Linked DNA regions of Arabidopsis thaliana. The protein of the gene in region 1 interacts with the protein of each later gene in a pairwise test. Each region holds a gene or a part of one and is shown on either strand. Other genes may lie near its edges.

Evidence for each region. The genes of interacting proteins can lie anywhere in the genome.
Region 2: the proteins of CB5-C (region 1) and RTE1 interact in a two-hybrid assay, tested with the Arabidopsis thaliana proteins (one study listed by BioGRID).

What each region holds. Positions count from the first base shown.
Region 1 is NC_003071.7:19,142,067-19,153,410, reverse strand, and holds CB5-C (cytochrome B5), read right to left. Parts: upstream 1,931-11,344; 5' UTR 1,605-1,930; coding exon 1,527-1,604; intron 1,423-1,526; coding exon 1,356-1,422; intron 1,271-1,355; coding exon 1,017-1,270; 3' UTR 672-1,016; downstream 1-671. Other genes in the region: AT2G46640 (NAD-dependent protein deacetylase HST1-like protein), read right to left, coding at 2,730-2,891, 3,135-3,464, 3,902-4,224, 4,473-4,518, 4,614-4,619; AT2G46630 (serine/arginine repetitive matrix protein), read right to left, coding at 6,698-7,882. UniProt on the Arabidopsis thaliana protein: Membrane bound hemoprotein which function as an electron carrier for several membrane bound oxygenases, including fatty acid desaturases.
Region 2 is NC_003071.7:11,101,886-11,113,229, forward strand, and holds RTE1 (protein REVERSION-TO-ETHYLENE SENSITIVITY-like protein (DUF778)), read right to left. Parts: upstream 5,304-11,344; 5' UTR 5,081-5,303; intron 4,733-5,080; 5' UTR 4,723-4,732; coding exon 3,856-4,722; 3' UTR 3,720-3,855; downstream 1-3,719. Other genes in the region: emb1345 (Transducin/WD40 repeat-like superfamily protein), read left to right, coding at 515-712, 971-1,117, 1,406-1,624, 1,733-1,797, 1,897-1,962, 2,073-2,144, 2,303-2,365, 2,587-2,656 and 2 more; GLDP2 (glycine decarboxylase P-protein 2), read right to left, coding at 7,445-7,536, 7,626-7,743, 7,830-7,928, 8,029-8,154, 8,237-8,314, 8,401-8,589, 8,687-8,839, 8,915-9,028 and 7 more. UniProt on the Arabidopsis thaliana protein: Acts at an early step in the ethylene signaling pathway. Positively regulates ETR1, leading to the negative regulation of ethylene responses.

The sequences.
Region 1 (11,344 bases):
ATATTTTTAGTTTCAATTTATATTTACACCACATTGTAATTTAGTTAAAATCTAAAATATCAGAAATATTTGATTGTTAGCCCACAAAATTGTACGTTTGATTTTTATAAAATAAATTATGAATTCTATCACAGATCAAGACTGCAACAGGATAAATTAAAAAAAAAAAAAAAAACGCAACAGGATATTAAACTATAAAATTTAGTTTCCAAGATTCTGGTGAACGATCTTTGCAAGTCTACTATCACTCCGGAAACGTTTTTTTTTATTATATATAATAACAATCACTTGTTTAATAAGTTGCATAGAAACACGAATGTTTGGTTTGTTTTACCAAACAATTAACATTACACGGTTTAAAAAAGAAAAAAAAACTTTACTTAAGAAAAATATTCTCATATTTTTAATCGTCTTCTAGTAATATAATATAGAAATACTAACATTACATTTCGAAATTTGATTAATAAATCCCCTCTCGAATTAGTAAATTAAAAACCAACATTCTTCATTTCTTTGTGTCCTTTTTTATGACACATTGAATTCTGTGTCTTTAAAGTGGCAAAAAATAACCGACAGTATAAAGGTTGAAATTATGTGGAACGTTTTTGCTAAAAATAATTCTGTGTCTGTGTCATATTTTTGACACACACTGACACACATTCCTTCTTTGTAAGTATGCCCTCACCCATTTTTATTATTAAGTACGAATTTAATGGAATCTACTGCATTTTTATTTTTATTTTTTTTCGTCAAATGGAATCTACTGCATAAGTTGGTTGTTTTATCAAAATCAAGTAAATAACACAAAGCTCATGCTAGAAGAAATTGGGATTGGCATATATCAACAAAGGGCCTACTGATACGGCCCATTAACATAAAATAAATAAGACATTATAGTCCAATTCTGAGCGATGGGCCAAATGGCCCAAATCTTCACATAAGAAGCCCGTTATTACCAACAAACGAAAACCAAGAACAGTAAGAAACTCTTATCAATCTGTTCATCATAATTTGGTCTACTTGTTGTTGTAGAATCTGAGAGCGAAAGCAACGCCGAGTATCAAGAGAGGAATTAAGTAGATAAGCAGCTTCTTTCCAGATTCTTCTTTAGTTGTTTCCGCCGCCGTAGATTCCTTCTCCCACGGCGGAATATACTGTTGCGTCACCGGAACCGTTGACTGGTCAACGTCACCGATACAGTATTTCTTCATTAGCTCCTTGGCATCTTTGCTATGGTTCACATCTTCGAAATCGATCGACGCGTCTTTCCCTTTAAATTTTCATAAAAACTCACAAAATTACAAACCGATAAATTCAAACTAAACCGGAATAAACCAACTCGTACTCGTACGTACCGGTGACGGCGAGGAGAACATTGTCACCTCCGGGATGTTCGTCCATGAAAGTGCTGATGTCATAGACCTGTGGATAAACATGTGTTTAGAAACAAGTATAAAGCTAAAAAAACAGAGCATTTATAATCTATAAATTTGTTTACGTGATTTAAAGAAAGTAGAAATATGGACCTTTCCATGGATGAGAATCCAACAATCGTTCTTGCACTTATGTTTAGCCACATCGTGAAACGAAATTAGATTCGCCATATGATTACTTTTGGTTGCTCGTGCTGAGAAAGTAACTTGAAACAGAGAACTTTATATAGAGACTTCAAATAAACTAGGGTTGAAGCAAAATAAAGAAAGCAAGATCGTGAGGGGAAGAGTTTCTAGTTTCTACGAACCGATGAAAAGACAGTGCGTAGCTTATGGAGACCACACGCGTTATGTTTATATTGTAAGCTGTTGAATATTATTATTACTAGATTTTGATGAAATTACAGTCTTATTTGGGGTAAATAGTTTAATCTTAGCTCTTTGAAGATGTAAGGGAACAAAGCAATGTATATCTGACCAGTTAATATACATAGTTGTTTTTGTTGAAGTTTAATACTATTCTTTTCGTATAAAATTGTTATTACGAACAAGGTTAAAAAAAGGTACCTACCATAGTAAAACGTGAAGAATATGGAGTTTGTAAGTTAATGGATTGGTAGCTGAGAATGCCTCCAAGTGGTCAGCGACCTCAGGTTGGTGAAGCTCTTTCACGTTTTAGTTTTCTCTTATAAGAAAAAGGAAAAAAGAAAACAAGTCAAAAAAAGAAAGAAAAGTCAAGCCTCAATTTTCTTTTGTTTACTTTAAACTTTTAAAAAGCCTCAAAATCACTTTTCTGATTAGGCCCTTTTTCAAAATCACTTTTCTGATTAGGCCCAATAACGCACAAAAGGGCTTTCTGTTTTGAGTAGGATAATTTAGTCCTTTATCAGTTTATGACTTTAGGTTTGAAATTTCTTCAAAACTGACCAAGCTATAGCAGACATGATGGAATACTATCACAGATTCACGACAATCCACGATTTTAGAACGATGCATTGATATACGTATAAATAAGAAAACATATGACATAGTAATAAAATACAATATGCATAACAGGAACAAATACTAACAACTTAGTAATGTTTGTAAGAAGAAAGCAATACATCTCAACAGTCATAACAATACCAACACATTCTGAAATAAGAACAAAAAAATCACATATATTATAGGGAGTAGAACAATAGATCCAGAGATTGCTCTTGTACGATGTCGTCGTTCTTAGACTTCTAGGCCACGCAATCTGTCCACAAAGCATATATATACGAGCAAATGAAAGAAATAAATCATATCGAACCCCTAAACCAAAATAATTAAGAAATACAAACCTTGAATTTTAAGAAGATAATGTGACTCGAGAGCTTCACAGTTCCGAGTTGGCTTGTATGGAACGTCCTTCTTTAAAGCCTTAGTTGCATCGACATCTGGATGGATCTTCTTCTTCAACATCCTCTTTATCATCTACAGTAATATATACACATATATAATGATGCTATACTTGTTGACATCGAATGAATATTTACTCACATATGAGTACACTTATGAAGCAACAAAAGTGATGTAATTGTAACATGCACGAATAATTATCTAGATCTTGACGTGACATTGTTTCCCTTGAGCTATAGAGGCACATGTAACATGTTCATATATCCATCATCATCAATGTTTCATAGTTACGGAATTGACTAAAACAAATTTAAATACCTGACGCATTTTCTTGATTGGACGTAAGTCGTTTTCTTCCTCTTTGGACTTTGACATGACCAGCTTCTTCTTAACAAACGAGAACCTCTTGCTTAGTTTTGAACCGTTTTGTTTATAGTACTTAACCTCCTCACCGTCAAGATTAGGGTTATTGGGTTTCTTGCAATGCCACGTGTCATAACCTTTGTCGTGGTCCTCCATGAAAAGCTCCGCAAGTGTTGTCCTCTTCTTCTGTGGCTCTATCTCGGCCTCGGCTGCCGCCGTGACAGCTGGCGTTTCAGCGGTTTTGATCGAGCCAAAGTGATCAGTATCGGCCTGTACGTACAGATTCTAATACGAAAGATCTCAAGAAATTCAATATCAAGAGTCAAGAAGATATAATTTTATGTACTTATTTTATGTACTTATTTCTTTGCGTATAATGGCCTTAATTGTCGACAGAAAAAAAAATGACGATCTCGATTGACTCAAATGCAATTTCTGCATTTATATGTCTTTAAAGTCATATTTTGAAAGAAAACCCAAATTTTTGTAGATTAGTGAACGTATAATCCTTCCATTTTAGTTAACTTATTTCTACAATAACAATTAAACTAGTTTAAAGATTTTAAAATTTTGGATTCATTTGAATATACTAATCAAATCAACGTAAACGCACACGAACAATTGAAGCATATGCATGTCATATGTCTATATAATCTTCTCTATTGGTAAATCAACCCGAGGATCATAAAAATGTACTCAATAGAACTGATTAGAATACGTACCCCGACATCTTCATGATGATCATAAAACTTATTTTCAACGGAGATAAGAGGATCCGACTCTTGGTCGACGTTCTTGATGATGCTGCCATCAATTACGACGTAGTCGAGATCCCCACTCCCGCATTCATCATCATCCATTTCATCTTCTTCTTTGAAGTTCAAGGTGTCAAAGCCAAATGTGCCGATGGTGAGAACTCCATCGAACCAATTATCAAGAGCATCCACTAAACCAACTTGATCCAATATAGCTTTCGTGTTCTTCTCAATCTCACTTATTCCTTCATTCCTCTTCTTCTTCTCGTTTTTCCTCACACCATCTATTTCTTTCACCATATGAAAATAAATATAGGTTGGACAAAATTTATGCTTTAGCGAAAACGTGGTATACGTTAATATAAAACTATTTATTAAACAGGGAACCACATGATCCTATATGATACTACTACAAAAAGTAAACTACTATTTTAGTGAAGCTTACGATATTCTAATAAACAAAGGGAAAATAAAGCAAATTTGTTATTTTTTTATAAAATAAAGCTGATATTGATTATCTATAAAAAAAAAAACTAACCTTTGATGACATTTTGGTGCAGCTTTTTCTGCACCCAGTTAAAGATCTTCGAAAAATCCCGGAAAACAATTATAGATTTATAATTACGAACTATATGAAAAAAGGATTAAAGCAAAATAATTAACAACAAAATTTACGTACCGTCATAGTTTTCTCTATTTCTTCTTAGCAGTTGAAAGAGTGAAGAAAGTTCTCAAGCAAAAAAGGATAGTGTGAAATGAGAAATCTATTAAGACATTAAATAAATCATATAGGAGAGTCCTTCAGCTTCTGACACGTGTTAATTACAAAGAGTGGGTTGGATCGGTCTGACTTTTGGGAGGCAAGGCCAATAAGTAGGTGCCACATGTCACTTGCTAATCTGGTCGTCACACTATTCGTTGTCCCACCCTTAATTATTAAGAAATTGCTTTTTGACCCGATTACTTATAAATTATCAAAGTTTGACAAGAAAATTTTAATACTAATTTTCAGTGCCTCCTTGATCTTTCCGTGGTTCATTTCTTGTAATCTTGTTGGTAGACTTCTGTTGCTTTCAGTGTTTGTATCATTTGATTAGACATCAAAGGAAAAATTCGCTGCATTAAAGCGAAAGTTTTGGTTTCAATCAATTTTTAAAAATGGACGTACAATTTTAATATCTTATTTGAAAATGTCATATTCACCAGCTTTGGATTCCCTCAAGAAGGGTCCAAATATAGTGGAAGCAATTCGGTCACTGTGGTCACTATAATATAAATGTCGCGGAATGTCATCGCGGATCATTCTTCACTATCAACAATAATGTATTCAAACCCTAGCGTCAAATTTTCAGAGTGATAATCATCAACGTTTTAGAACGTTGACGTAAAATTATCTTCAAAATTGTAAAAAGCTATGCCATTGCCATTTCTCTTGACAGAAACAAGCTATACTTAAATTATTGACAACATTATTAAGTTGTAAATTCCAAATCACATGGCCAATCCGTTACTAATGGATTAATTGTAAAATGTAATAATTTACGGATTTATAATCTGTGACCAACTTTACTCAAATTCTTCAGTTGCAACTTGCAAGGTCTCAGATACCTATTAAATCCTCAAAGATACAATATTAAAGATTAGGAGGACTATATGCATAATGCATATGCATATGCACATGCAAAGTACCCTCTAAAGCTTTTTGAAGAGCACACAAAACCACACACATACTGTTGGGATTTGGACACTTCACTCTCCTTTCTCTTTGTCAGTTGCTTCTTGTTCTCGAATTTTTGGGATTTGGACATTTTTTCTTGTTATCTTTTGCCTAATTATATGGCCAATTTATTCAATTGCATAAGTTTTCGAAAGTATTGTATTATGATTTTATAAGGTAGTGATGTTTTTATTTGCTCCTGGTGAATTTTAAATATTCACAAAAATCGACTCAAGAACTAATAAAGAATAAATCAGCTTATAAAAGACCCCTCTGGCTTTTCAACTCCTCCAATTTCTATTTTATGCATTCAAAATGCTCACTTTAGTTCCCCACTTCTTTTTCAGATACTGTTACAATCACTAAAACGATTTGTGTAGAATAGATTCTACATTACAAAAAAAATTAAAAATATAAAAGCATATACATTGGTTGGGATATTTTTGTATAAATAAATAATGTGATCTTATTAGAGGGTTTATTGAAGCATGAGCTTTTCTCATAACGGACACAGGAACCAATTAGACATTTGAGTTGATTTGAAAGTCATTTGATTAATAATATACAAGGTTTGGTTCTCTTTTCTTCACATAAACTTGTCGCTTGTGGCACAATAATCTTTTGGATTCAATTATCCAAATCGTTACCCCAATTGATAAAAGTAAATATATTACGGTAAATACAAATTGTTTATATAGGCCCATAGGTATGAATATGGGCTTATGTAGTATACATCGGGCCTTCACAATAATATGGGTTTCATGATTATTATTAAAGCAATAACTGATTTCTCATTAATTACGTCAGAGAGAACCAATGCGCGCGTTTACAAAAGTAATTAAAAAAAGAAGTTCGTTTTAAGTAAACGAATCAAAGCCTCCATATAAGTGAGAGGGTTCCAAAAGCTTTAGAGAAGAATCAGAAACCATTAACCCCACTCATATTTTCTTTATTTTTTTTCATTTATTTTAATTAAATCGAATTTATTGCAATTTTAAATCCAAAACCTTTTTTTTTATTTTAGTTTAGTTTTTTTTCTTCTTTCATCAGTTGGTGTATCCGCCATTATTACCGTAATCACTGACATGAAAACCATTGTCGGAGCCAGGTTTCCGGGAGATTTTAAGATGAACGCCGGGATCATGATGAGATGCCGTCGAGTTGTAGACAATGGAGTTGTTTATCATCTGAACGTTACTATTCATAAAAGCTTTCATTGGGAGGTTACTATTGCCTTTGTTAGGGACGTTCTTCGTCGTTTTCTTCTTACCTTCTCCTTCGTCGCTGCTGCTACTGCTGCTGCTTTGAAGTCTCCGTCCTTTCTCTCCGGTGCCGTGTGAAACCCTAGAGGAATGTGTTCCTGAACCACCGGTTTTGTTGCCTTGAGGAGATCGTAGGATCTCCATTACTGCACCTTTGTTTTCACCTGCAATGGTGATGACTCGTGTGCTCATTATGTTCTCAGAATCGGACGAAGATGGTTGACGATGCATCTTCTTGGGGTTGTTGCCTTGATGGTTTTGGTTTTGGTTATAGCTATGGTTTTGGTTATAGTTATGGTTCTGGTTATAGTCATGGTTATGATTCTGGTTATGATGATTTGTTTCGTGGGTTTGGCTTGTTTTCTCGGCAGTGAGAATGTTTTTCTGAGTGGTTTCACGTTCGGAATGTAACAGAGAAGCTGGGAGAGAGTAAGGTGATAGTACTCTCGGTGATGGTGCTTTCCGATGATTCTCTGACTCTGATGGAGACCGAGTTTTCACTGACTCAGATGTTGTAGACCGACTTGAATGAGCTGGACTCGGTGGTGAGTTCGGTTTTCGCGGTGGTAAGGCTTCTTGAACTTCCTTGGGAGATGGTGGGGACGTGTATGACGACCGAGGCGGTGGCGGAGGTGGTGTCGCAGCCTTTGGTGGGGTCGGTGGTGACATGTGGCGGCTTGGAGGTGAATGATATGGGGACCGCTCTTGAGGGGGTGAAGTTGGAGGAGCCTTCTGACGTGGAGGGGTAAGAGGCTGTTGCTGCTGACGTGGAGGTGAAGGAGGATCTTGCTGACGTGGAGGTGAACGAGGTTGTCGCTGACGTGGAGGTGACGGTTGTTTTGCCGGTGGTCTGACTACGAGCGAACTGCGAGAGGTTGGTCGAGGTTGAGGTGGAGGTGGGTCGCTTGAACCTTGCGCTGTAGGCCTAGCGATGCTAGAGAGACGGAACCATGGACGAATGTTAGACATTAGTGTATATTTATTTGAATTGTAATTATATGTTATTTATAAGTGTGGCAAAACACAATGGAACGATTTAGATATCATGTAACCAAAGCTTATATATAGATAGATTATAAACAAGTGTGTGTGTTGAAGAAAAGTGAAACACGAGAAACATGAAAGGAAAAAGGTAAAAATGAAGAAGAAAGGTATCAGATCCATGCAATGAGATTTACAGCTTGCAAAACCCACATTTTACGATTGGTATCAATCGTTAAGAGCCACATTCAAGCTTTTCCTTATAACTTATCTATCACCGTTGATAAATAAATAATTCAGGTTCTAGATTCGTTGCTATGTCTGGAAAAAGTGTGCATCTAGTCACAGTGACGCAAAAAGACGACTAAATCCGCATGAAGAACAAAATCTTTACAAATTACTATAGTCCCTCAACTAGCTTGACCGACTATGTATCCTCTATGTGTGATTTTAATGGTAGCTGGGATGGATCATACGCCGAAATCTCATTGAGTTAATTTCAATTTATATCATTAATTTTAACTTTGTTTCACTTTTTTTTCTCTAATTATGTACGTGTTTCAAAAGAATGCTAATTACTAAGGAGAGAGTAGTGCAACGGTTGATATTGTTTCATTTAGGATTTTTGGACAACTTGATTTTATTCAACGATTGTTAAACTATATCAAAAGGGAATTGAAACTTCAGAAACCAAACATCGAATACTAATAAGCAATAAAAAGTAATGTGCTAGCATCTTCTTCAGCTTTTCTTTTTCAAATTCATAAAATTAAAGTATTGATCACTACTCTGAGCCATTAATTCTTTCCTTTACGAATAAAAAAATTAAATATCTTATGATCATTTAAAAAAGATACAATGGTTCAAAGTGTATTATTGGTGGCTTATTGGGCGTTAGAAGTATCTATATCAAGCGTAGCATCTAATTATAAGCCTCTCTTTGTTGTTCAATTTTGCATTTTCTCATAAACATCACATATATAGTCGAAGTCAACATAATTAGGAAGATCTTGAAAAATTAATACACATTAATTATTTTCTTTAAGAACCAAAAATAAATATCTTATATGATCATTTTAACAATATACAATGGTTCATAGTGTATTATTGTGCATCAGAAGTCACCTACATATCAAGCGTAGCATCTAAATATAAGCCTCTCATTTTTGTTCAACTTTACATTTTGTACACACCACAAATTTAAATCATATATATTTTACATTTTTCATATAAACATCACATATATATAGTAAGTCAACAGTATTAGAAAGATCCTGAAAAATTAATACTAATATCATAACTTTTTAATACTAAGAGTGACGTTTTTTCTTTCGTCAACTGGTTAAAAGAGATCGTATGAGATAACATGTTACTAAAAATAGTCTAATCAATTATTCTATGTTGTTATAAATTATCAACAAAAGTATTAGGAGTGTAACATTCCAAGTTGTTATATAAAGATATGCATAGTATCTTTTAAATTAGCTTTCACATCCACTTGCCTCTTTCCAACAATTTTATTCATTGATGCAAATGGTAGTTTTAGTAACCAATGAAAGTGAAACTAACGTTTAAAGAATCTTTTGAAATTTTTTTAACTCGTTAAATTTGGTTAATTTTGAATTCTAATATCTAATGGCAATAAATAAAAGGCATTTAAAGTTGTAAGACCATCCTTATTGCAAGTCTCTTACTATAACTCTTAGGTATAATTAATCAAAATGATATGTGAATAGTTTAGAAGTGTTTCTAAGAGATAAAAGAAGGTTTAAGAGCTTCAAACCATTACAAAAACTCTTAGCTATAATTTTTTTCAATAAAACAATTCATCATAATAGTCGAGAGATAAAATTAAGAGCCTACTATTAAGGTTGCTCTAACATGCCCATTGAATTGGGTAAATTGTGTAAAGGCCCATCATCCTTAAGAGGTTCGTAATGGCCTTTCGTCAATAGTTCGATATACTTTTCAACATAAGCAATTATAGACTCCGTTTTTATTCATAGCGGATGCGAAATAAATCAGTTCAAATAGTTCGTGTTGTGGACTTTAGTCAAGATTCAAGAATATAAATCAGGCTATTTGTTATTTTCTCATATTATCCATTTGAACCTATATTTCTTTACTATTAAGTCAGCGTCAAAGAAAGACTAAAACTTCGTTCGAAACACGTTTTGTTGTTGTTAGAATTTAGTTTTGTTAAGTTTGCCTCGAATAGTCAAAATTCTTAAACACATGGAAAAGTTTAGTCGGATTATACGTCAATAAATTTATACCAATGAAGTCTCTTTATAGAATATGTTGATCATACAATGAGTTCATTCTTTAATGTGGTAGCTCACATGCAAAATATGCTACCTAAATGCATTTTTCCTTTCTTCTAACTTGGAGTAAACATAAGTCCTCAAAACAAAAACAAAAAAAAACATGTAGTTTTAGTAATTTTTAATCCAACTCGGGATTGATTATTTTGAATACATTATTTGTTTATATTTAATTATCGGTTTGTTTTTGGTTTTTGGATTTTTGAGTTATAAAATGTGTAAGAAATATCATATGTTTCAGTTTTGTTTGACCTGGATTTGCAGTATTTAAAAGTTTAAATACGGTTTTAGTTTGGTTTAAATGGGATCAACTAGATTGATCAGCTCGATCTTAATATATGCATAATTGAACACGGAATCATGATGAATGCACATACCGATGACGTTCAACTGGTACAACTTTACAGGCAATCGATTAGTGCAGAAAATGTAAAGCAAAAGCTGATAAAAATAACGGAAGAACATTTATTTCCAGTGAGTGTAATTATTATTAATATAGGACCACCGTGTATGGGTATGGCTTCAGGAAATTTGAAAATTCCCATGCTGAAACATTCAAAGTCTTTTTGAGTCCGCCAATACACACCTTGTATAAACGAAGCTATTCTTGTTTGAAGAGTCCTCCAAATTACAAACAAAATAAACAATGAAAAGTCTGCACGTTAGTCTTTAGACGAAAACATATTTAAGTTTGCATGATATTAAGATTCAAAAAAAATCTACATTAAGCAAAATGAATGCTTTAACCAAATAAAAAGAAAACAACAGATAGATAACCAAATAAGAGTTATATGATATAGACTTATACCTTAACATAATTAAATGAGTGTTGATATTTCTTGTACCAAATAACAAACACCAAACACATGCAATCTTATAAAAAGACCACAAGTGTATTTACTCATGAACATGACACTTTTCTTGTAACTGTAATGAATTAATTATGATTAGTTGCGATATTATCCAAATTACTGAGTCCCTCGTTGAATGGCGGTGTTTTGGTCGATTAAACTTCTTTGTAGTAGGCTGATTTTTGGTGCAAGTTAGGAAATACAAATATCCGATGCTCTCGCTACATATCAACAATAAGCAAAATATTAAAACTATTAATTGTTGGAAAGAAATA
Region 2 (11,344 bases), 8.0 Mb from region 1:
TGCTAGCACTAGTTTATATAATAAGAACAAAAAACCTAATGATTTAATTTGAAAAATAAATTTAAGAATATGACCTTCGAGTTCTAAGAAAATTAGCTTGTTAATATTTTTTTTATTAGAAATGAAAATTTATCTTAGAATAAAAATCTCCTCAATATCTATTTTCAACCTCTTTCAAAGATTTGAAAATATTTTTTTTTTAATATTAGTAAATAAAACTAATTAAATAAAATTAGAAATCAAATTGATTTTACTTAAAAACACTTTAAAGTTTAAACCTCTAATCTAGCTTTTATTTTTGTACCGCCATTAAAAAATAACGAACCCAAACCGAACTCAAACCCAGACCCAAACCCATGCCCATACACAAATCACGAATGCCTAGGCTTACTTGTGACCGAAACCGAATTGAATCATATATAGTTTCAGGTCACCTGTTGCACAATCTCTGCTCAGCCCTAAAAGCTTACTCCTTTCAACTTTCTGGAGGCCTTCTCGTAGCCTAGCGTCATAGATGGATTTGATGGAGAAGAACTTGGAGTTAGTGGAGATTCAGAAACTAGAAGGCCACACCGATCGTGTTTGGAGCGTAGCTTGGAACCCCGTTTCTTCTCACGCCGACGGTGTTTCACCGATTCTTGCTTCTTGCAGTGGCGATAACACTGTTCGAATCTGGGAACAAAGCTCTCTCTCTCGCTCCTGGACTTGCAAGGTCTCTATCTCATTTCTCTTTCTCGCAAGAAAGTTCTAGCCTTTTTTGGACCTAGCAAGTTCAATTCACAAAAATCTATTGATTCTCTAGATCAGTCTTACATTACAATTTGTGGGTTTTGTTTCGATTCACTAAAGAGATTAACTTGACCTTAAACATGGAATCGACTGGTGATTTGGATATGGTGTAGGACTGTTGTGTTAGTTCTTGTGCTATTTCTCTAGAAAGATTTATTGATTGTATATTGTGAATCTTCAGACAGTTTTGGAAGAGACGCATACAAGAACTGTGAGGTCGTGCGCTTGGTCACCCTCAGGACAGTTATTGGCCACTGCAAGTTTTGATGGTACCACTGGCATTTGGAAGAATTACGGTTCTGAGTTTGAGTGTATTTCCACTTTGGAGGTACTTTCTAGCCCAATCCTTGAACCATCCACAAATTGTCAAATTCTTATCCAGAATTAGTTCTTTGAACCTGAAAGCATAACTTTTCACAGCTCCTGTTTGCTCTTTTGACTTTGTTCTTTCTTGATCTTTAATGCTAAGCTCAAACTCTCATGGAGTTTTTCAGTGTTCACTTCATAGTTCATATTTAATTATGCTCAAAGCTTTTGGTGGTTTTCTTGTACTGTCTTTATGCTTTGTATCGCACGTTTTTGGCTAGTAGAATCTTATTAAAAAAAATGTGTGTAGGGACATGAAAACGAAGTCAAAAGTGTATCATGGAATGCATCTGGTTCATGCCTTGCAACATGTAGTAGAGATAAGTCTGTTTGGATTTGGGAAGTGCTTGAAGGGAATGAATATGACTGTGCTGCGGTATTAACTGGGCATACACAAGATGTGAAGATGGTTCAGTGGCATCCCACCATGGATGTTTTATTTTCTTGCAGTTATGATAACACCATCAAGGTAATGCGAATACTCTAATTAGGTTTTAGTAATGCAGAACTTGAAATTTATTACACAAAAAAAAAAAAATTATATAATTGAATAACGCTAGTGGCGTGCTACTCACAGGTTTGGTGGTCTGAAGATGATGATGGTGAGTATCAATGTGTCCAAACCTTAGGTGAATCTAACAAGTATATCTTCTACTTTTTCTTATATGCTTTCGATTTTTTTCTTATTAGGCTCTTACTTTTGAAGTAGTAGATTAATATATGCCTTTCTTCTTCAAACAGCGGTCACTCTTCAACGGTATGGTCCATCTCATTTAACGCTGCAGGGGACAAGATGGTCACTTGTAGGTTAGTGAATCTTCTCTCCTTGTCTCCCATAGGCATTCTAGAAGCAATGTAATCTGTCTCTTGGGATATTGTTCTTACAGTAGCAAGCTTGCCTGAATGTGTATTTGCAGTGATGATCTAACCTTGAAGATATGGGGGACAGATATTGCCAAGATGCAGTCTGGTGAAGAATATGCACCTTGGTGAGAAAATAGTGGGTTATTACATGTAATCGAATTTATTTGTTTCTTACGTTTAGAGCTGGACGTAGTATGTAGCCTACAAGATTATTTGACTTCTTCAAGAATTTTTCTCCGTCCAATTTTGACTAATGTAATCCTTACTTGCTCGGACTTTGCAGGATTCATCTTTGTACTCTCTCTGGCTATCATGACCGTACCATATACTCAGCTCACTGGTCAAGGTATTGACACCTCACATGTTTTCTTTAAAGCATCGTGTAACTCTGCCTAATTTCTAAATCTGCCAGCCTAAAAGGAAAAACTCTTTGTTGTACCTGATATTTACGCTCCCAGTCATCTGTCGAATGCATCCAAATTGGGATTTTTAATGCTCTTTCGTGAGACTGTGCTGAGTTTAAACTCAGTTTTGTTTTGTTTTCTTTTTATTTTAAATTTTTGACAGGGACGACATTATTGCCAGTGGAGCAGGCGATAATGCTATACGGTTGTTTGTGGACAGCAAACATGACTCTGTAAGTTGAATTTGGTTAATATCTTTCCATATATACACGCCTAACTTACATATCTCAATACAAGAAACCAAATGCAGGCAGCAGATTCTATCTCTCCTAGTCTTGCCAATGGTTTACCACTATACAATTAAACTTTTCTGCTTCATCTTTGAACTTAAAGTCATTCTTTTGTGTACCAGGTTGATGGACCTTCATATAATCTTTTGCTGAAGAAGAATAAAGCACATGAAAATGATGTAAACTCTGTCCAATGGTCACCCGGTGTAAGTTCCATGTTTCTTATGAAGTAATAGACACAAGTGCATACTATTTCGTACTTGATACATGGTTGCAATGATTAAGTATAGTCTATATGGCATCTTATAAATGTGAATTAGAAGTTAGAACATAATACTCAAGCTTAGTTTTAGGATCAGAGAAATGATGCCATTGATTACTCGACTTACATTGGCCCAAGTACATGTGGTTATGTTGTCTATGATTTTGACCTTGGAATTGTAACCTGCTACAGGAGGGGAACCGGTTGCTTGCGTCGGCTAGTGATGATGGGATGGTCAAGATTTGGCAGCTTGCAACTAAACCGTGACTGCTGTTGGTTTGGATAGGTTCTGAAACTCCTGTGTTGTTTTACTTTTTCTGAGGTCTATCTGTAAACAACATAACATTTTAGGTAGAAGAGAACTCTATACTATTTTGTCATACAAGATTAGCTCCATGATGTTTCATACGATTTCTGTTTTACTTTTACTACGATCACTTAAGTTTTAACACTGTTGGTACAACTTTGTGGAATTTAATAAACAACTTTTTGACGAAACAAAAAATACATAGCTGATATCGTACAACTTTGGAGAAACTTCTTTTTTCCATATAAATAGCAAATTTAGATGCAACTCATATGGTTGCTGCTTGTGCTTGTAAGATCTTACAATATTTTTTCTTTTTGTTAATACCTAACAATACATTTATTTGGATATTGTATGTTTTTTTCTTAAGGGCCTCCGAATATGTATATTTTTTTCCTTTACTATGACACATCACCTCTAAATAATCTACGGATTAGGAAAAAGAGAACAATTTTTTAAGATTAACATAATTTTGGAGTTGAAAGCTAGATGGTGCCGAAAGGAAAAGAGAACAATTCTTAAGATTAACATAATTTTGGTGATACATCATATTTATATTTCTCTCATACTGCTTCAAGTAATTATGTTCTTAAAACAGTAAGTAGCAATTATGAACCAGGCAAAGAGTAGTAGCGAGAACGAAGAGAGACCGATGAGGAATGGCCAGCCGACAAGCACCACCCCCAAAGACGTGACCACAGCACATGGCAGAAACGAGCGGACTACTGATGAACCATTGATCCATTTCCCTTTGATCATAAGTAAAATAGCAACATTCACCATATTCCACTCCATTGAGCCACCATAGCAAAGACGGTTCAAACAGTTTGCAACAAACGAATGGCAGTTACAAGTGAAGATGTTGTAGGTTTTATGCTCAAAGCTACGTGTGCTCGAGCTCAGTGCATTATCCCATGTACGCGCTGTTCCAAAGTCGGTGTGTTTGAATCCATACTTGCAAGTATGTCCACCCATATTTGGTGGTAAGCAACACTGCCACAAACACACACATTTGATAAAGATTAAAAAGTTCTTATAATTTGATACAAAACTAACAAAGTCCATGCATAACCAGATTCTACTTAATAAAGAAGCAGATACTAATACCTTGGTTCTATCGAGTTGGAGATAGCGAGCAGGAGGACCAAATGCAAAATCATCAACATTGATGAAGTTAGATCCAGCAAAGTCCAAAATGACTCCATCTTCTCTGCAAAGTCCAATATGACCAATGAAAGGAGCCAACCAAGAGACAACAGGAAGAGGAGTCCAAACTATACAGCAAGGAAATTTCGACTTCTTGGTATCAATCTCAGGTAGTGGCCACAGATCAGCCTCATCAGCTTCGATTATTGATGGTATAGACACGGACACCACCCTGTCTTCAACATCATAACTTCGTTTCAGGTCCATCATAGGAACTCCTCTTCCACGTGACATTTTTAGATTCCTAATCACACAAGACAAGAGCAGTCTGATCATTATAGTCCAAACAAAGAGCGACCCATTTACTAAAAGAATCGAAAGTTAAAATCTTTTGATCAAAATGAAGCAAAAGTTTCAATCTTTTTAACAAAGCATGTCCGTATATTCATTCTCACAGCACTAATTGTGTAGTAATCTCCTAACTTGAGCCTAATTCAGATTTTCAGCATTGTGGGTTTCTCTGTAAATTTCACCGGAAACTAAACAAAACCCATCAAAAGCATTTCCGTAGAAAACAGTAAAAATCACAACAAAAAATCATAATGGAAAGCTAAGAAGCAGGGAATAACAGTGGACTGTGTTTTACATTTACCTGTCGGAAACTCCGACGCCGATGTCTGAAGGATCGACGCAGAGAGGAAAAATCGATGAAAGTGATGCGAGAGCTTGGAGAAGGAGAAGAAACTGATGCTTTGTGGAATTTGATGAAGAAAGAGGAGATTTTTATAATTGGTTTTCTAAAGTAACGCTTCTTCTAGTTTTAGGAATTCATTGAAGACAATGGAGAAAGGTACAATGAACCTTTGGTTGTTTATCAATTACTGCACTGTCTTAATTTTATTATTATATACTAAGTTAATTATTTTAAGGAAAAAGGGACGTTTGCTTTATCAAAACTTTGAACAAAAAAAAAAGATCTACGAATTGCAGTTTTACTAGAAAATTTTGAAATATTTGAATATCCTTCTCAATTGCAGTTTTACTATCAGAATCCAGAGCTACGAAATTATAAAATTTGTATTTTCAGTAATAAAAGCTCAAATACTGAAGAGAATCCAATGTTTTTTTTTTGTAACAAAGAAACCGATGTTTATATATTTAGTTTCCGTAAAATTTGGAGTCAATCTATAAAACTCAAATCTCTTGAACGATTATTTCTAATTTGTCGTGTTTGATTACCGTTGTCGTTATTCATTATGGTTGGATAAATGAACACATGGAAACCTCAATCTCTATTATAGGTATAGAGTGACATCGTATTTATGACAATTCGACAATTGTTTATGTTTTTCTGTCGGACGTAACGGTTTTAAGAATCGAGAAAACTTTCTTGATTTAGGGTCCTTGCATCTATCATTCGTGTTTGCCTTTTTGAGACGAATCATGTGCATGCGAGTCAGATGATCTGACAACTGACAAACAGAGAATCCGATGTTTAAATATTTAGTTTCCGCAAAATTTGGAGATGACTTATGAAACTCATAACTCTTGACCGATCAATCTTAATGTGTCTTATTGATTACCGTTGTCGTTATTAATTATGGTTGGATAAATGAACACATGGAAACCCTAATCTCTATTATAGGTATAGAGTGACATCGTATTAATTAATAACAATTCGATAATTGTTTATATATGTCTGTCAGACCTAACGGTTTTGAGAATCTAGAAAACTTTTTTTATTTAGGGTTCTTGCGTCTATCACTAGTGTTTGTCTTTTTGAATCAAGCCACATATGCTTTACAAGGTTGATTTGTTCTTAAGAGAAATGTCAGGTGCTCTAAAATAGTGATAAAGCGTAGGATAGATGAGTTGTTTGCTAGAGAGGTAACCGAACAGGGCTCGATGAGAATATGCTCCTTTAATCACCTTTCGGAAGAAAAAAAAAAACAAGCATTAGTATATAGGATAGGAAAAAATCATTATGAGGTTGGTCCTCTCAAAGATTCAGTGAGAGTCTAGTTAGAATGAATTAATGTGGCTATACAGAAAATCTATTTTCTGTGAGGAAATACAGGTTTTGGTTCAAGGACTTAGGGCATCTCTAATGATGACCTCTATATTTTCCTCTATTTATAGAGGTGACCATTGGAGATGGTTTTAGTATAGGTGATCTAATGTCCAATCTGATATTTAGTAGAATAATGCTACAAGTCTGATTAGTGGCAATTGAAAAAATTAGCAGAAACATAAGAGCATCTCCCATGTCCTACCTTTATTTTTTTTCACTATTTTAGAGTTGATTTTGTTCCAATGTGTGTCTCTAAAATAGAAAAGATTAGCATTGGTTAGAACTGCTTTTTGTTTTTTTTTGGCCAAAATGTAGAAAAGTGAAATTAAATTTTAACTCTACCAAGTTCCTAGTTTTCTTTGGAAAGGAAGTTCAAGTTGGTATTAAGCTTTTTTTTATAAAAAAAAATCTAACTCTACCCAAAGGAGAGAGAAAAAATAACTACTTCAAAATTTAGATTCCTTTCCTTTAATATTTGGTTGTTTCTTTCACTAAATTTTTTTGTCTCCTTCACTTCCACTTTTTACTCTACATGCAACCATTCAGAACCTATATGTTGTCAGTCAGTTTGTTTATAAAACCTAGAATTATGGTTATTTTGCCAAATTTCCTAATTATAAAATGAAACAATAAATATCCTAAGAATTCAAACTTTTTTCAAAGAGATCATATGGCATAAATATAACCACGATGGTGATCACATCATCCAAATGGAATGTTATACGTATAAGAAAGTGGAACATAAAGAAATGTATTTTATTAAATAAATGAGGGAAGAACTTAGGACTACGTATGTACATTGTACAGGAAGTGAAAGTGAAAGTGATGATGAGGCTGGGAAGAGAAGTAAAAGCCAGTAAAGATACGTTTCTGGATCCGGTATGAGTCCGAATCGCCCCATTGTGGGTTTTGGTGCGAGTGCGAATCGCTTCATAGTGGCTTCATTTAAGCAGACACTGCAGCTGCAGCCTGTTCTTCGTTCGCCGGTTGGAGAGTGCACACCAGATTACGGTCTCCATACACGTTGTCCACTCGCCCTGTTTCACACATATTTAATACATTTTGAAACGATTTACAAATAACAAATTGTTTTCTATGGGAAATGCCACCCCTAGTTTTCAAGTACCTGTAGTGGGCCAGAACTTGGAGGAGCGGAGCCATGGAGCGGGGAAGGCTGCGTATTCCCGTGAATACGGCTTTTTCCATGTATCTGCCATTAGCAATGACGGAGGATGTGGAGCACCCTGTGTGTGTTTGTTTTTTAAAGTTCATTAGTATCAGACTAGAGGGCTAGTCCGAACTGAAATTGTGGTCTCAAATTTTTTCTTACCTTCAGAACGTTGTTGTTTGGATCTGCGTTTCCTTTCTCAATCTGTGAAATCTCTTCCCTGATCGAGATGAGAGCATCACAGAACCTATCTAACTCAGCCTGAAATATTACATATATATATACAAATTATGAAGCCATGTTTTAGAGACTGAGAGCTGAGTCAGTGAGAGATTTGCAATGCAATGCAAGACATAATTACCTTGCTTTCGCTTTCGGTTGGCTCGATCATAAGCGTTCCAGGGACAGGCCAAGACATTGTCGGTCCATGGAAACCATAATCCATCAATCGTTTGGCCACATCCTCTGGTTCAATTCCAGCAGTGTTCTGAGGACATTGAACAAGACATTGATTTAGCATGTACAACCAAAAAACAGAGCATTTACTCAAACGAGATAAAGAAACATACCTTGAATCCTCTCAAGTCAATGATGAATTCGTGAGCGACTGTTCCATTGACACCACGGAAAAGAACTGGGTAGTGGCTCTGAAAGACAAGAAAGCATAAGTGAGGTTGCACAAGAGAAGAGACGTTCACTCTCTTTAAAGAGTTGTCAAGATAAGATAAGGTACCTCCAGACGCTTTGCCATGTAGTTAGCGTTCAAAATTGCAATCTTTGAGGCATCGGTGAGTCCTCCAGATCCCATCATGGCAATGTAAGTATACGAGATTGGCAAGATAAGCGCAGACCCCCATGGTGCTGCAGAAATGGTTCCCAGCGGTGATGTCTGCTCGGGTTCAGGGATACCACCGGTAGGTATCTGTAGCAGAGTAAACAGAATGAGTACAAAAAAGCAGATAACTCAATCATTGAGAAAGATGGATTAGCGATCATAACATATAAGAATTAACACTAACCACTGGGTGAGAAGGTAGGAATGGAGCCAAATGTTGCTTCACACCGATAGGGCCCATTCCGGGACCTCCACCTCCGTGAGGGATACAGAAGGTCTTGTGGAGATTGAGATGGCAAACATCCGCTCCAATAAAACCAGGGCTTGTCAAACCCACCTGGAAGTTCCAAAAACTTTCTCAAATTCACAACTTTTGGATTCTTCAGTCAACATACCAGCAGAGAAACCATACCTGTGCATTCATATTAGCACCATCCATATAAACTTGGCCTCCATTTTCATGAATTATGTTGCAGATCTCGTCGATACCCTCTTCGTAGACTCCATGGGTGGAAGGGTATGTAACCTAATATTCAAACAGAAGTTGTAGAATTAGAAAGTGGATTGACCCAAAAGTGACATTGTTTCATCTATAGTGATGAAAGAAGTAAATACATACCATAAGAGCAGCCAAGTTGTCCTTGTTGGCTTCGGCGGCGTTCCTCAACTCTTCGATGTTAATGTTTCCTTTGGCATCAGTTCCAACGGCAACAATTTTCATTCCGCACATGGCAGCACTAGCAGGGTTTGTCCCGTGTGCAGAAACAGGTATGATGCACACATTTCTGTGATGATCGCCTCTTGACTGCATCATTTATTCACCCATTTACCAAATTTGTTGAAGTGCGAGTTCATATTGGAAAACAAGAAACTACAGGTATGCTTACCATATGATATGCACGGATAACCATGAGCCCGGCGTACTCGCCAGCAGCACCGGCATTAGGTTGCAATGAGAAAGAGTCGAATCCAGTGATCGTACATAAGAGCTCACCCAAATTCGTAAACATTTCCTATAAGTTGTCAAACAAAAAATTCAGTACGTAGTTAAATTTCTAGTCAGGTAAATCAAATATGTGGCCTCACCTGATAACCTTGGGCTTGTTCAACAGGAGCAAAAGGGTGCATGTTGGTGAAACTTGGCCATGTGACTGGCATCATTTCAGTGGTGGCATTCAATTTCATCGTACAAGATCCAAGTGGAATCATGCTGTGGCACAATGATAGATCTTTATTTTGTAACTTGTGGATGTACCTAAGCAACTCATGCTCCGTGTGGTACCTAACCAAATGTAAGAAAAAAGGGAAAGTAAATGTGAGGTACTTAACAATAAGCCACAGGGCAATGAAGGAACCAAGATTTAAAGAAGGTAACATACATGTTGAAGATTGGATGGGTCAGATAAGGGCTCTCTCTTGTTAGGCTAGAGGGAATAGCATTGTTAAACTCCGGTGCAAGAGACTCAGCCGTGAATTGAACCTTGTACATTGGAGAAAACATTATTTTAAGCAAACACGAAAAAAAAGAGTGAACAAGCGAGATGAATGGATATTAGCTTAAAGTAAACTCACGGGCTTGCCCGAAGCAAAAACTTCAAAAAGTTTATCGACATCATCCAAGGTGGTTGTTTCATCGAAAGCAACAGTAATCTTAAAGAACAAGAAAAAAAACCCATCAATGTTAATAATCATATCCAGATATTGAAGAAATATATATATATATATATATATATATATATATATGAAGAAACTCACAGTGTTGGAGTCCACAAGACGCAAATTGATCTCCTTCTTGGCTGCCACATCAAAAATTGCAGTTGCATCTGAACATGTAACTTTGACAGTGTCAAAGAAGGGAAGATCTTGGACTTGTGCAGTTCCCAGTTTCTTCAATCCTAAGGCAAATACACCAGCGAGACCATGAACCCGTTGTGCAATAGATTTTAAGCCTTCTGGTCCATGGTAAACAGCATACATAGCAGTCATATTTGCAAGCAAGGCCTACAATGTAGAAAACGATAATCAATAGCAAAATAGTTTGAAGATGTAAAATATGGTACTGCTCTCTCGGTACCTCTAATTCTTCCCGCTTTTGTTATCACTTATCAGTAATAGTCAAAGCGGTATACACTACATAAATCCTATAGAGTTTGAAGCCATTTTTACCTGAGCGGTACAGATGTTGCTGGTAGCTTTATCCCTGCGGATATGCTGTTCCCTAGTCTGCATAGCCATACGCAAAGCTTGCTTCCCGGAAGAATCAACACTAACACCAATAATCCTCCCAGGCATCATTCTCTTATACTCTTGTGAAGTAGCCAAGAAAGCAGCATGAGGACCACCATAACCCATCGGAACACCAAACCTCTGACCCGACCCAACAACAATATCCGCCCCAAACTCACCCGGCGGTTTCAACATCGTCAAAGCCAACAAATCCGTAGCCATAACAACCTTAACACCATTAGCATGAGCATTCTTAACAAACTCACCATAATCCAACACCTCCCCTTCAGTCCCCGGATACTGAACCAACACTCCACACACATCACCAGAGCTATAATCCACATCCTTAATATCAACCGTCACAACTTTCAAATCGAAACCATCCGCTCTCGTCTTGCAAACATCAATAGTCTGAGGATGACAATTACTAGCAATAACAAACGTCTTCTTCTTCCCCTTTAGAATATTATTACACATCGCCATTGCTTCCGCCGCCGCCGTACCTTCATCGAGCAACGAAGCGTTCGACATCGGTAGACCGGTGAGATCAGTAATAACCGTCTGGTAATTGAGCAGAGATTCGAGTCTTCCTTGAGAAATCTCAGCTTGATAAGGA